Linked DNA regions of Coturnix japonica. The protein of the gene in region 2 interacts with the protein of the main gene of each other region in a biochemical or structural test. Links are inferred from orthologs where the notes say so. Each region holds a gene or a part of one and is shown on either strand. Other genes may lie near its edges.

What was found. The genes of interacting proteins can lie anywhere in the genome.
Region 1: the proteins of PDZK1 (region 2) and SLC34A1 form a complex in vitro, tested with the Homo sapiens proteins (2 studies listed by BioGRID and IntAct, with this or other methods). The link is inferred for Coturnix japonica from reciprocal best matches to the Homo sapiens genes PDZK1 and SLC34A1.
Region 3: the proteins of PDZK1 (region 2) and SDK2 interact in a test that uses a peptide from one of them, tested with the Homo sapiens proteins (2 studies listed by IntAct, with this or other methods). The link is inferred for Coturnix japonica from reciprocal best matches to the Homo sapiens genes PDZK1 and SDK2.

The regions. Positions count from the first base shown.
Region 1 is NC_029528.1:11,928,456-11,932,753, reverse strand, and holds the start of SLC34A1 (sodium-dependent phosphate transport protein 2A), read right to left. Parts: upstream 2,801-4,298; 5' UTR 2,691-2,800; intron 2,539-2,690; 5' UTR 2,525-2,538; coding exon 2,422-2,524; intron 2,285-2,421; coding exon 2,102-2,284; intron 1,938-2,101; coding exon 1,809-1,937; intron 1,739-1,808; coding exon 1,595-1,738; intron 1,512-1,594; coding exon 1,400-1,511; intron 1,323-1,399; coding exon 1,127-1,322; intron 921-1,126; coding exon 825-920; intron 691-824; coding exon 597-690; intron 415-596; coding exon 247-414; intron 1-246.
Region 2 is NC_029516.1:83,003,511-83,006,736, forward strand, and holds part of PDZK1 (Na(+)/H(+) exchange regulatory cofactor NHE-RF3), read right to left. Parts: intron 3,213-3,226; coding exon 2,951-3,212; intron 2,419-2,950; coding exon 2,282-2,418; intron 1,013-2,281; coding exon 817-1,012; intron 595-816; coding exon 398-594; intron 1-397. UniProt on the Homo sapiens protein: A scaffold protein that connects plasma membrane proteins and regulatory components, regulating their surface expression in epithelial cells apical domains.
Region 3 is NC_029533.1:5,293,386-5,297,419, forward strand, and holds the start of SDK2 (protein sidekick-2), read left to right. Parts: upstream 1-1,234; 5' UTR 1,235-1,891; coding exon 1,892-1,970; intron 1,971-4,034.

The DNA.
Region 1 (4,298 bases), on a different chromosome or scaffold from region 2:
GGTTCTGGGTATAGGGCCAAGTTTGGGGCTGCAGGAGTCTGCTGGGAAGGATGGATGGGAAGGGGGGTATGGACAACAGGAGGATGTGATAGGCATAAATAGAGCAGGGAGCAGGTAGGAATGGGGCCAGGAGTTCATGCAGGGCTGGGGTTAGAGGTAAGGTTAGGATGGGGGATGACAGAGGTCAAGCAGAGAGGGCCGAGGGTGGTCATAGTCTCATCCCACAGTGGTCCCTGTCCCACTCACCAGTGTTGATGACCTTCTGGATGGCCTTGGCCACCTGCCCCTTGAGCAGGGAGTTGAGGATTTTGACCAGGAGGATGAGGCAGGTGCAGAGCACGACGAGGGACCCAGCCAGCAGAACCAGCCCCACGGCCAGGTCCGGCAGCGGCGTGTCCGTGAAGAGGTGCTCGCCTGCCCCACAGCACGGCTGGGCGAGGGTCTGGGGCCTGCCCAGCCCTGCTCACAAACCTGTCCCCACCAAGCAGCCCCGCACAGCCCCACAGCATCACCCAGCCCTCCTTCAGCCCCATTCTCAGGGCTTCCAGACCCCCAGAACCCCCAGCCCTACAAGCACACCCTCCAGACCCACTCACACTTCTGCCTAGTGACGTTGTGAAGGATCCCATTACTGCTGCAATGTCCAGACGCTGTGCAGTTTGGAGGCACCCCTACCCCACCGGCAGCTGTCTGCAGGGAGCAGGCAGGCTGTGGGTGAGCCCATAGCATCCTCACCAGCCCCAGCCCACTGCCTTCCATGGGGAGCTTTTAGGGGGGGGCAGCCTGCCCCCCCCAGCACCATAGCAAGGCCACAAGCCCCTCACCTGGGTTGGTGCAGGGCCACACCATGTGCGGATGAGGCTGCGGTTGCGCAGGCTCTCGTCCCCTGTTGCGATGCCTGTGATCACCGACTTGTCCAGCTGCAACAACACATTGGAGGGGATGGCACTGGGGGGCTGGCAGCATCCTCAGGCTGGAGACATCTACACTGTGATGGGGACTTTGCTGCCGGCCTTTGGCAGAACTGCCATATCAGGGACATTGGCGCTAGGGACATTATTGCTAGCATGGGGACACCAACGCTGGAGGACCACCCCTGGCAACAACGCAGCCAACCCAAGCAGACCTGGATGATAAGCTTGGTGAAGGGCTCCGTGATGATTTTCAGCAGGTCAGGGGCATCCTTCCCACTGCGGATGTTGAAGGTGGCCACCACCAGGCGGGTGACGTGGTGCAGGTACCCGCTCACCACCTCCAGCGGCAGCAGGACCAGCACCGACAGCCAGTTGAAACAGTCGTGCACCGTAGCACCAGCAAAAGCTCTACATGGTGGAGTCTGAGTGTCAGCGTGGGGCAGCCCTCAGCCCCTCCAAGTCCCTTTGTCCCCATCAGTGCTCACCTTTTGAACTCACTGCGATCTCCAGCCTGCATGAGGGCCACGATGGTGTTGGTGACTGAGGTGCCAATGTTGGAGCCCATGATGATGGGTATGGCAGAGCGCACCTCCAGCACTGGTGGCAGAGAGACCTGCTAGCCCCACATCCTCCTCAGCCATCCTGCCCCCAGCCCCAGGGAGCCCCACGGGTGCACTCACGCCCCGAGGAGACCATGCTGACAATAATGGAGGTGGAGGTGGAGGAGCTCTGCACCAACACAGTCACCAGGATGCCCACCACCAGCCCGGCTACGGGGTTGGAGAGGATGGCGTTGTCCTTGAAGATGTCCCCTGCCACTTTGCCTGCGAGAGAGCATGAGGACAGGGCACTGGAGCCGGGGTGCTGCTGGCTGCCCTCTGCCCACGGCCGTACCTCCGGCCAGCTGGAAAGCAGAGCTGAGCACGTCCAGGGAGCAGACGAAGAGGTACAGGAAGCCAAACATCAGAGGCACCTTGAGAAGGGAGACACAGATGGACTGGACCCTCACCCAGCAGCCCAGCTCTGCGCAAGACAAGAGAGAGTGTTACACGCTGGGCACAAGTCTGCATGCCCAGCCGTGTCTGTGGGTCCCCTACATCTCCTTCTGCTCTGCCTGCAGCACCACAGGGCACTGAGCATCTTCCACTCCCGCTGCACCAGCTGGGTGCAGTGCTTGAGGACCTCACCTGGCTTCTGCAGCTCCTCCAAGCCCAGGCGGGGCCCCTGCCATGGCAGTGCATCCAGCTCGTAGCGCTCCCGGCTCTCCACCAGCCGCCCCGGGGAGCCAGGGCACAGGAAGCCATGGTCAGGGCAGGTCACTGCTCCCACGGCGAAGGGGCAGGCGTGGGCACCCGGCAGCCTGTGCAGAGCTGGGTACGGGCATATCAAACACGCATTATGGCCCTGTCCTCTCAAGGTGCTGGGCATGGAGCCCACCTGCTGTGGGGAAGCAGGGCTGAGCTCTGCATGGAAAGGAGGTGGTGAGGAGGAGGGCTGGGAGACCTACCTTGAGGGCTGGGGCAGTAGGCAAACGGGGTCCCATGCACCACCCTTCCTCCCCGCACTGGGCAGCGGGGCATGGCCGGGCTCTCCCTCCGGTATGGCAGCATCACTCCAGCTGAGTCTGAGCAGAGGCAGCCACACGTCACTGTGGTGGGGCCACATCTGCACTGCTCCAACCACTGCCACCCCAAAACCACGCAGTGGTGCAGTGAGCACCGTCCTAGTGATCCCCTTGTCCATCCAGGAGACTGTCCTGCCCTGGGTGCTGCTCACCTGGTGCTGGCCAAGCACTCAGAGCAACGCCGCGTCCTCATGCCAAATCCATGCTTTCCTCCAGCAAAGTGGCTCACGGGGCACCAGGGCCCTTTATATGCACGTCAAGAGCAAAGTCTAAGGAGCCCGGCATTGCCCCTCGCCTCCGCTCACTGCTCACCTCCTCCCCAGAAATTCCTGCAGTTAATGGGTAACCCCACAGCATCCCATGTCAGCCGCAGTCCTGGGGGTGGCATGGGGCACACACTGCAGGGGATGGTGCCTTGCACGCCCCGTGCACCCCACCTGGCCTGCCCAAGGCCCCGTGTCACCACTTCTAAGGCGGCCTCACACCGTGCACTTCATCCCCTGCAGGAGAGGAGGAGGAGGTCCCACTACCAGTGTGTGTGGCCTCACATCCCCATGCACACAGCTCTGCTGGCCTGGCCCAAGGGTGGTGGCAGTGGTTGCATCAGCATTGCTGCAGGATGCTGCCAGCAGGACAGGCACAGCACGGTCCCTGTGTCATCGCTGATGGTGACATGTCGCCTGTGCCAGCGCACCACAGAGAATGCTTTATCTCAGCATGCACGATGCCAGGTCGAGTGGAAGGGGAGCAGTGCCAGTGTGCTTGTCAATGCACCTCAGTGCTGTTTATTATTACCCCTCGTTTACACACCTCCGCCAAGTTTCCATCTATCCACGTGGTGCCCGGCCAGCTCGTGCCTATGGCAGCTAAGGGCAGAGCTGGGGCCAAAGGCCCCTCCAGTGCTGCTGCAAGGGAGCGGGCACAGTGGGGCTGCATGGCCATGCTGCTTCTGTTCCTCTGGAGCTGGGTCCAGCTGGTGCCACATGGCTGCTGCCCAGAGTGCGTCAGGGCACCCCCTGTGCCCTGGACTGTGCCTACTGGGGCATGGAGCACTGCGTGACCTGTGCCTGGATCACCCTGGCAGCACGTGCTGCTCCCTTGGCGCAGTGGGGACCAGGGGACGTGTGTGGTGCTGGACAAGGGACCCTGGGCCAAGCAGGTCACCCAGCTGGGAAGTAGAGCTTCGTCTCCATTAGCCCATGGGTTCATGCCATGGCAGATCTGGAGGGGACAGCTACACCGTGCACCACTGCTAGCAGGACGTCATTGTTTGCAGAGTAACTTGGTATCTCCATAAGCACAAATAAGCCAGACACAATGGCTTGTATGGGCACAAGGATACCCAGGGGGCTGCTGGTGCTCAGGGACAGCCTGTGGGTAAGCCTGCAAAGGAACCCCGTGTCCTTTACTAGGCTGCACACTGCGGTGTGCCTTTCCTGAACAGCAGGGGCATGGATGTCCCTTGACCAGGGGCTGCAGTCAGGGCCCCCCATGCCCAGCAATGCCAGTGGGGGAGGCTGGTGGCCGCATGTGCCCTGTGCCCAGAGGATGTGGTGGCCGCTGCCTGGCTGTCCCCACAATCATTAACCCGCAGAGGCCCTGGTAGATGGGCTGTCACTCATTGACAGCCTTGGGGCTGAAGTCCTACCAGCCCCACAGTTTCCCCTGCATCACTAGCAGTACAGAGAAAACAGGCTACTGGTGCTGCCCCTTCCTGCAGGAGCAGGATGGACACTGGGCAGGGTTGTGGGGAACAGTTC
Region 2 (3,226 bases):
GCTAATTATGTTGTGCTTGAAACCTAATGGTTGAGATACAAGTTGCAATGAGCTACTGTGCTACTAATGTCTGGTTAAGTGGAAAGCTACAATGTTCATCCACGTTGTATTGCTCATAAAAGATTACACAACAATTTAATTCTGATGTTGCTGTCCTATTCCAGCTTTTCTTATGGCGTGTTCAAATTTAGAATGGTTCCAGCAGTGCTTCTGAAAACATGGGAGAGGCCAAAGATGTGGATCTTTAGTGACTTGGTACACAGTTGCTGAAATCTGGATGTCTTAGGCCTTTGCTGCAAGATGAACAAGTCTCTGTCAGAGCAGATTGATTCATTGCTGCTTCTGTTCCTTTTAATGATAATTTATGAGTCCTTACTAGTAGCTTGTGTTTACTTACCATTTTATACATGGCATCAGTCTCCTTATCCACTACCAACAGTGTGGTTTTTTCCTTAGACTGCTTAATCTTTCCCACTACACTTTCATGATCCAGTGCATCCACTCGCTCACCATTGACAGCTACCAAGATATCATCATCTTTGAGACCTGCCTTGGCTGCTGGGCTCTTGGGATCAACATCTTTGATTACATGATCTAAGATCAAAAGGGGAAAAAAAAAGATGGCTGTGAAGGACTGTTTGGTAAGTGTAATGGTATTTTGTGTGGTAAAAGCTATTGCTGAAATCATGCTTGAGGTTGAGACAGTTTCTTTAATACAGGCTTTTTAAGTAGCCAGACAAGGAGAATGAGGCCTGCAAACCGTACAGAAATAATGTATCGCAAATGTCATGGCCCGTGTGTTAGCTTGGTTCTTACCACCAGTGGTTTGTTCCATCCGTAGAAAAAAGCCATAACCATTTTTTCCTTTCTGAAGCTCAATAAGTCTTGGCTTATGAGGAAGGAGTTTTAGGTTGGCATTCTCTTTGCTCAGCACCATCTTCTGGCTTGTATAATAGCGGTCTGTTTCTTCATTTGAAAGTAGAAGCATAATGTGATTTCCAGACTTCTTTACCTGCATTAGTACACGTGCAGTCACAGATATGATCCCTTCAAAAACAACTGTAGCTACATCAGTAACTGGCTTACTAATACACTAGTAGTGGAATACTGCTGCTGCATCAGCTGGAAGGTCTGGGTGAGGCTACTATAGGGTTTTTTTCCTTTTTTCTTAGTAATTTGGACCATATCAAGATCTCAGACACGCAAAATCTTGCATGTGTATGAGGAAACATCCTGTATTTCATACTGTTTTCCAGGTCTCTGAATAACTAGCTGTAGAATTGACCTAACAGCCATAGGGTTGGCATGGAGTGGCAGTAAAATCCATTAAGCCTCAGTAGATAGTGCCTGACTCTCATCTAAACCTGAAACTCTATAGGACAGACATGTCATGCCATCCATATCACTATTTTGGCATCAACAAGCAGATAACTTTGCCCTAGTGTTACATTTCTGTCACACTCCTGTCCCGCTTCAGTGTCCTTGTATGACTGGCTCTGAAGAGTTTTGGTCTGTTCAACCTCTCCTTTTAATTCTATCTGTCTCAAACTGCTTTCTAGTTCAGTGGGTGCCCCCTTCACTCATTTGAATGAATGTGACTGTAGTTGATGGTTTGTAGCCCCAAAAAACACAGGTGTTGCACAGCTCCATAGTTAGTAGTGCACACTCAGTTGTGTTGCTAGAATGCCAGAGCATGACCAGCCCTCTGAAATCTCTTCAGCTCTATCTTTGTTTTAGCAGTGCCATCAGTGGAGAACTGGAAGTCTCATTAGCAATTTTCTTTGCAGCTGAGGCCTGGCAGCAAAATTATTTGTAGTGTAGTTTTCATTAATCTTGGGCTTCTTAGTAGAATAAAGGAACTGCTGTCTAAAATCATGCATTTACCCTGTTCCATGCTGCCTGCATCATCAGAGAGTTACTCCTCTTCCTGCCCTAAAAGCCACTTTTAATTATTTGCCCTCTTACTAATGGGAGAATTTCCAGGGTTTCTAAGAACAGAGCATGTTTTATTTAATACGGTTTCTGGCACTCGTGTAATTCTCATATTTAGAATTCTTTGGCCTGTTTTGACAGCAGCGTTCATTCAGAGTCAGTTCAAGAGGCTGTACAACAACAAAGCCAAAGCAGAGGGGTACTCTGCTGTGTTAGTAATGTATAAACAGAAGCTTCCAAGATTTGCTGTGAAGCATTTGAACTAGGCAGACCTGCCTCCTCAGTAAGCCTGACAAGTTGCTGTGAAAATGGGCCAGAACAGAAGATGAATCAGTATGGAAACAAATACCTTTTCCACCACCTCCTCATGTGTGTCGTTTTCCACGTTTTTTCCATTGATTTCAATCAGGCGATCTTTATTTTGGACACCCGCCTTTGCAGCTGCTCCTTGTGATGCCAGATCTACTATGAACAACCCCTTGTGACCTGAAATAGATTACAGCTCATTACATGGAGTAATTCATCGAAACATGCTTGCATTTGATGGCTAAGAAGATTCAGCTCTGATGTCCTTAGACGTCCTTAAGTCTCTGCTTATGTGTCTATTGTAGTGGCACTACCACTTCAGTGTCTCTTATTTCTCTTATTCTGCTCAGGAAATAGCACTTCTATAGGAAAGGGAGATGGGTTTTCTCTTTACTGCAACTCAAACAGTCTTATTTCTCTTCCAGGAGTGCCAAAGGGGCTGATGAAGATGGCTGAAAGGGACTTTTTTTTGGACATTTTAAGAGAGGAGCTGTTTTCAGTGCTGTTTTACACACTTCCTGTGTCTGAAAGACATTTGATCTTTGGTTATACTGCATTCTGAAGTATCCTGTTCGTAGTTGATGATTTCCTGAAGGTTTGCCTATTCTGATCTTGTTGTTTCTTACTTCCCCTCTGTTAGCAAGAGCATTTTGTGTACCCTCCCCTCCCCTGGCTGTCATATGCATACCATTTGTCCTCCCTAGGCTCTCACCTTCTGTGGTTTTTAGGGAGAAGCCATACCCCTTCTCCTCCTTTACTAAGTAGCAGAGTCGTGGTTGTGGAACGGCAGTGATTGCTCCATTAGCCATGGGCAGTGTGGACTGCTTCTCCTCCTTTTTCTCCTTCTTTCCTTTTGACACCTTTTGACCCAACTCTTCCAGATTCGCTCCCTCCTTTTCTGCCTTTTTATAAGATGCTTCATCCAGAACAAGAAATACAACAGAATTTCCACTGTTCTTCACAATCTCCACCACCTGTAATGGACAAG
Region 3 (4,034 bases), on a different chromosome or scaffold from region 2:
GCAGGGGCAGGTGCTGAATTTATGGCCCTGGAGACAGGAATTCCTGTTCTGCATGGAACAAAGCCCTGATCCCGCAGGGGGTTGGGAGAGTGCTGAGCACTTTGTGGCTGTTCCCCATTGCAACACATGAGTGCCGTGGGATTGGGGTCTGAGCCCACCATGGGGGGCTTCCTCTCTGCTCACTGCAGCCCATGTTGTCAGGGAACACCACCCTGAGAGGTGAGCTGGGCTCACAGCCTCCCACAGCACATCGATCCCCACTGGCTTGGTTGAGAATGCCAGCCACGGAGCTGATTAATGCTGGGGTGGGCAAGTGCTGGCTTATTGTTCAGCATCTCCTCAAGAGGTCGATGGGAAATTTGGCAGTAGCTCTCCAAATCTGCAACGTGAGCACAGGCATTGGCCCTCTGAGCACCGTGTGTGATTTACACGTGAGCATATATTGCACGGGGGGGGAAATATACTCCTGGTGCCCAGGAACTAACATCACTGTATTGATGTTTGCGTGAGAACGCTCCCTCAATTCCCTGCCCTGGTTTGACCCTTTGGTGCTGGGCTTTAGGCTAATCTGCTCATGCTTTTGCCCTGATCCTTGCAGGCCTCTTGGCTCAAAGGTGTTGTGTGTGCTCGTGGGTCTGATTCAGCATCCAGGTGTTCCCTCTGGCTGGACAGTTTAGGTCTGTTGGTGTCAGAGCTGCTCTCCTCCAGCAAATGCAAGGCACTGCGCTGACTCTGAAGGATGTGTGATCGTGGTCTGATCCTGCTGGGGGATCTGGGCTTGATAAATTGCAGGATTGGGCCTGAGGAGGTGATACGCGATTTGGGAGGCACTGCTGGCTCATCTCTTTGGCTGGAGATCTTGTTTTTCCAGAACCTCGCACCGTTTGCAGTGATAACCTGGTGGCAGCGAGTTCTGCCTGTGAGCTTCTCTATAGACTTGCTGCGTCCCCTCTCTAAGATGAGGTGCAGACGCTGAGTGCCATCAGTGCGGCTGGGGACGGTGAGGAGGGGGTCGCGTGGTGATCCAAAGCTGCACAGAGGGCAGCCGCTGCCCTCCGCCCCTCCCCCGGGGGGGGCTGCGGTGTCTGGGGTCGGGGGGGGGAGGGTGGTGGTCCAACCCGCTCCGTAGGAATCGTGGGCGGCCGAGGGGACGTGCCCGCCGCGCCCTCTCCCCCCGCATCTCCGTGCGCCCCCGTCCGCGGCCGCTGGGTAGCGCTCGGAGCCGCGCCGACTCCCCGCCTCCCCGGCTCGGGCTGCCCCCGGCTCCGCCGAGCTCCGCCGCCGCAGCTCAGGAGGAGCAGGGAGGAGGAGGAGGAGGAGGAGGGAGGCAGCCGGTCGGAGCGCCGAGTGGGGACGCACCGCACGCGGCTCCGAGCGGGACCCCGCGCCGCTGCGCGTCACAGCCGCACTTTCTCCTTTTGCTCCCCCCTCTCATCCCACCCCGTCTCCCGGAGCCGCCGGGGGGAGGATGTCCCCAGGCAGAAGCTGAGCTCCGGGGAGGGGCCGCCTCCCCGCCCCCGGACCCCAAACTTTTTTTCTGCGGCTCCCCATGGTGCCCAGGCGGGCAGGAGGGGCCGGGGGCGGACAACGCTGCGCTTCCTTTCCCCTTCCCTGAGGCGGAGGGCAGCTCGTGGGGAGGGGTTCGGCTGCCGGCCCCGAGCTGAATCGTCAGGGGTCCCTGCTCTGCACGTCTCTGGGGGAGTTGGACACGGCGGAGAGCTGTCTGCGGTTCCCCCCGACCCCATCGGGAGCTCTGCGCATCGCATCCGCCTCCCTCCGAGCAGCGCTGCCGCGGAGGTCCCTGCGCCGGGGGACCGGAGAGCAGAGAGCGCTGGAGCCGCTGCCGCTCGGATTATAAAGTCAGGGAAGTTGCCCCCGTGTCGGCGGAGTCATGGCCCGGCCCGGGAGTTGGGGGCTGCTGTGCGCCGTGATGCTCGCCCTGGCCGGCCCCCCGGGAGCCGGCGCCCAAGGTAAGTGGGTATGAGGGGGACCTGGTGCGGGGAGCGGCTTCTTCAGCCTCCAGCTCCTGCTTCGATGCTGGCGGTGAACCACGAGCGGGTGGGGGGCATTCCCTGTGCCGTCCCCGACAGACGAACCCCGGGAGCTGGAGGACTCTGGGGGCTCTCACCTTATTCGGGATGGAGAAGTTTGGGTCGCAGCCCCAGAGTTCGGGGAGGGAGTGGAGGTGTTTAAGGAGACCCCCAGGTGCCCGGGGCCGAACGGCGCAGAGCGTAGCGCGGTGCCTGGGGGGGACTCAGCTCTGCGCTGCCTCCTGCTTCTCCTGCCCTGTAACAGTCTCCGTGCTGGGGATGGGAGGCAAAACGTTGCTTTGAGTGCGGGGTAGAAATGCGTCAGCCCTTTCCCGAGGACCGGACACACTCGAAGGTGAGGGCACAGATTTCACCCCCCTCCCTGGGGACCCCACTTGTGCGCGGCACGAGTTCTGGGAGCGGCTCTTGCAGTGATTCTGGTCCCACTGACCTCCAGCGGGTGGGGACGGGGTGGGGGTCTGCAGCCCTGAGTCCCTGTGGGTGCTCTGAGGCTTCATGTGCTGGGCAGTGTGAGTGCCTGTCTGCTCATCACCTCCGGGGCTCTGGCACAGCACAGTGTGCGTTTGGCTGCTTGGAGAGAGGCAGGAATAGTTCCTGCCCCTTTGGGGTGCAGAGATTCGCAGGGGGAGCCCTCCTTGGGCTGCTGTCCCCTTCCCAGCAGACAAGCATCCCTGCAGGGCTGTGAAGGAGGTGCTGTCTATAGCAGGGCTGCAGCACAATCTCCTCCATCCCTGCTGCTCGGACGGAGCACATCCAGGCTGCAAAATGGGGGGCACAGAGGGGTGCAGTGCTGTGCCTGGGGCTCCTCAACCCACGACATTTCTTGCCCTTGTTTGCGGCAGCGAGTGGAGCCACAAGTCCCCATGCACTCCTGTCCTCCTGCTCCCCCTGAGCCTCCCTTAGTTCTGCTATAATTTCTCAGTAATTAAGTTCAGAACATAACATCTAAAGCGGCAGTATATTATCCGGGCAGGCCCTGTGTGGGGAGCTGTGAAGGTCTCTTTGATTGATTCACTCCCTTGCCGAGTTTCTCTCCTCCTGCCTGGCGGCTCCAGCTCACAGTCCCCCCATGGTCCGTTTGTTCCCGGCTGTGGGATGATCTCCTGCTGTGCCCGACTCCTGTTTGTCCGTGGGGCTCTGGAGCAGAGGAGAAAGGGCTTTGCTCTGCTCTCCTGGTGCACGATCTGAGCTGTGCATCCTGCAGCATGCTGCGTGTCCTGGCGGGTGGTGTGACATTGCTGGGAGCTGGCGTGGCTGAGCGCAGGCAGTGATGGAGCAGCGTGGGGAGCATCGCCTGCCTGTCCCCTATGGCTGGCTCAGGGACACTGGGGCAGGGTCACCTCCTGCTGCACATGGGCTGACAGCAGTCATTGCTGCAACCCAAGTGGACATGGGTGGAGGAGCTGCCCCATGGGTACAGTGCCTGTTGTGGCCTTTATCTCAACCCTGCTGTGGTGGGTTCCCAACAGGGACACCCCCATATTGTTGGTAGAGCTGATGGCAGCCCCATAGCCAGGCCTGGAGCAGAAGCAGCAGTGTGCTTTGTGCCAGTGCTATTGATTCTAGCAACTGAAGGAAATGGGATCAATAGAGATGGAGGGAGGAGGGCTTGAGACCCTCCCGGCAGGACGCGGGCTCCCCAAGCACAGGATGAAACACTTTTAATACCTGCAGTTGCTAAAACAAAGACTTCAGCACCACTGGGGAGAGATGGGATGGAAGTTTAATTACAGCCTGCCTGCGCTGTGTAATTATTAATTACCCACGGCAAAAAATAACTTATTGATTAGGGGCCTCGTGCTAATTACCTGGAGGTGAATGCGCTGTGGGTTGGAGCTGTCGCAGTGCGACCCTCACACAACGATGAGACAACAGAGGGTTCCCCAGGAGCTGGGGGTGCTGTTCCCATTCCTTCCCCCCACACTTTGTTCTGCAGATTTTGTGCCCCCCAGAGGTACATTTTTCCCTCAGCTGGGGGCACAG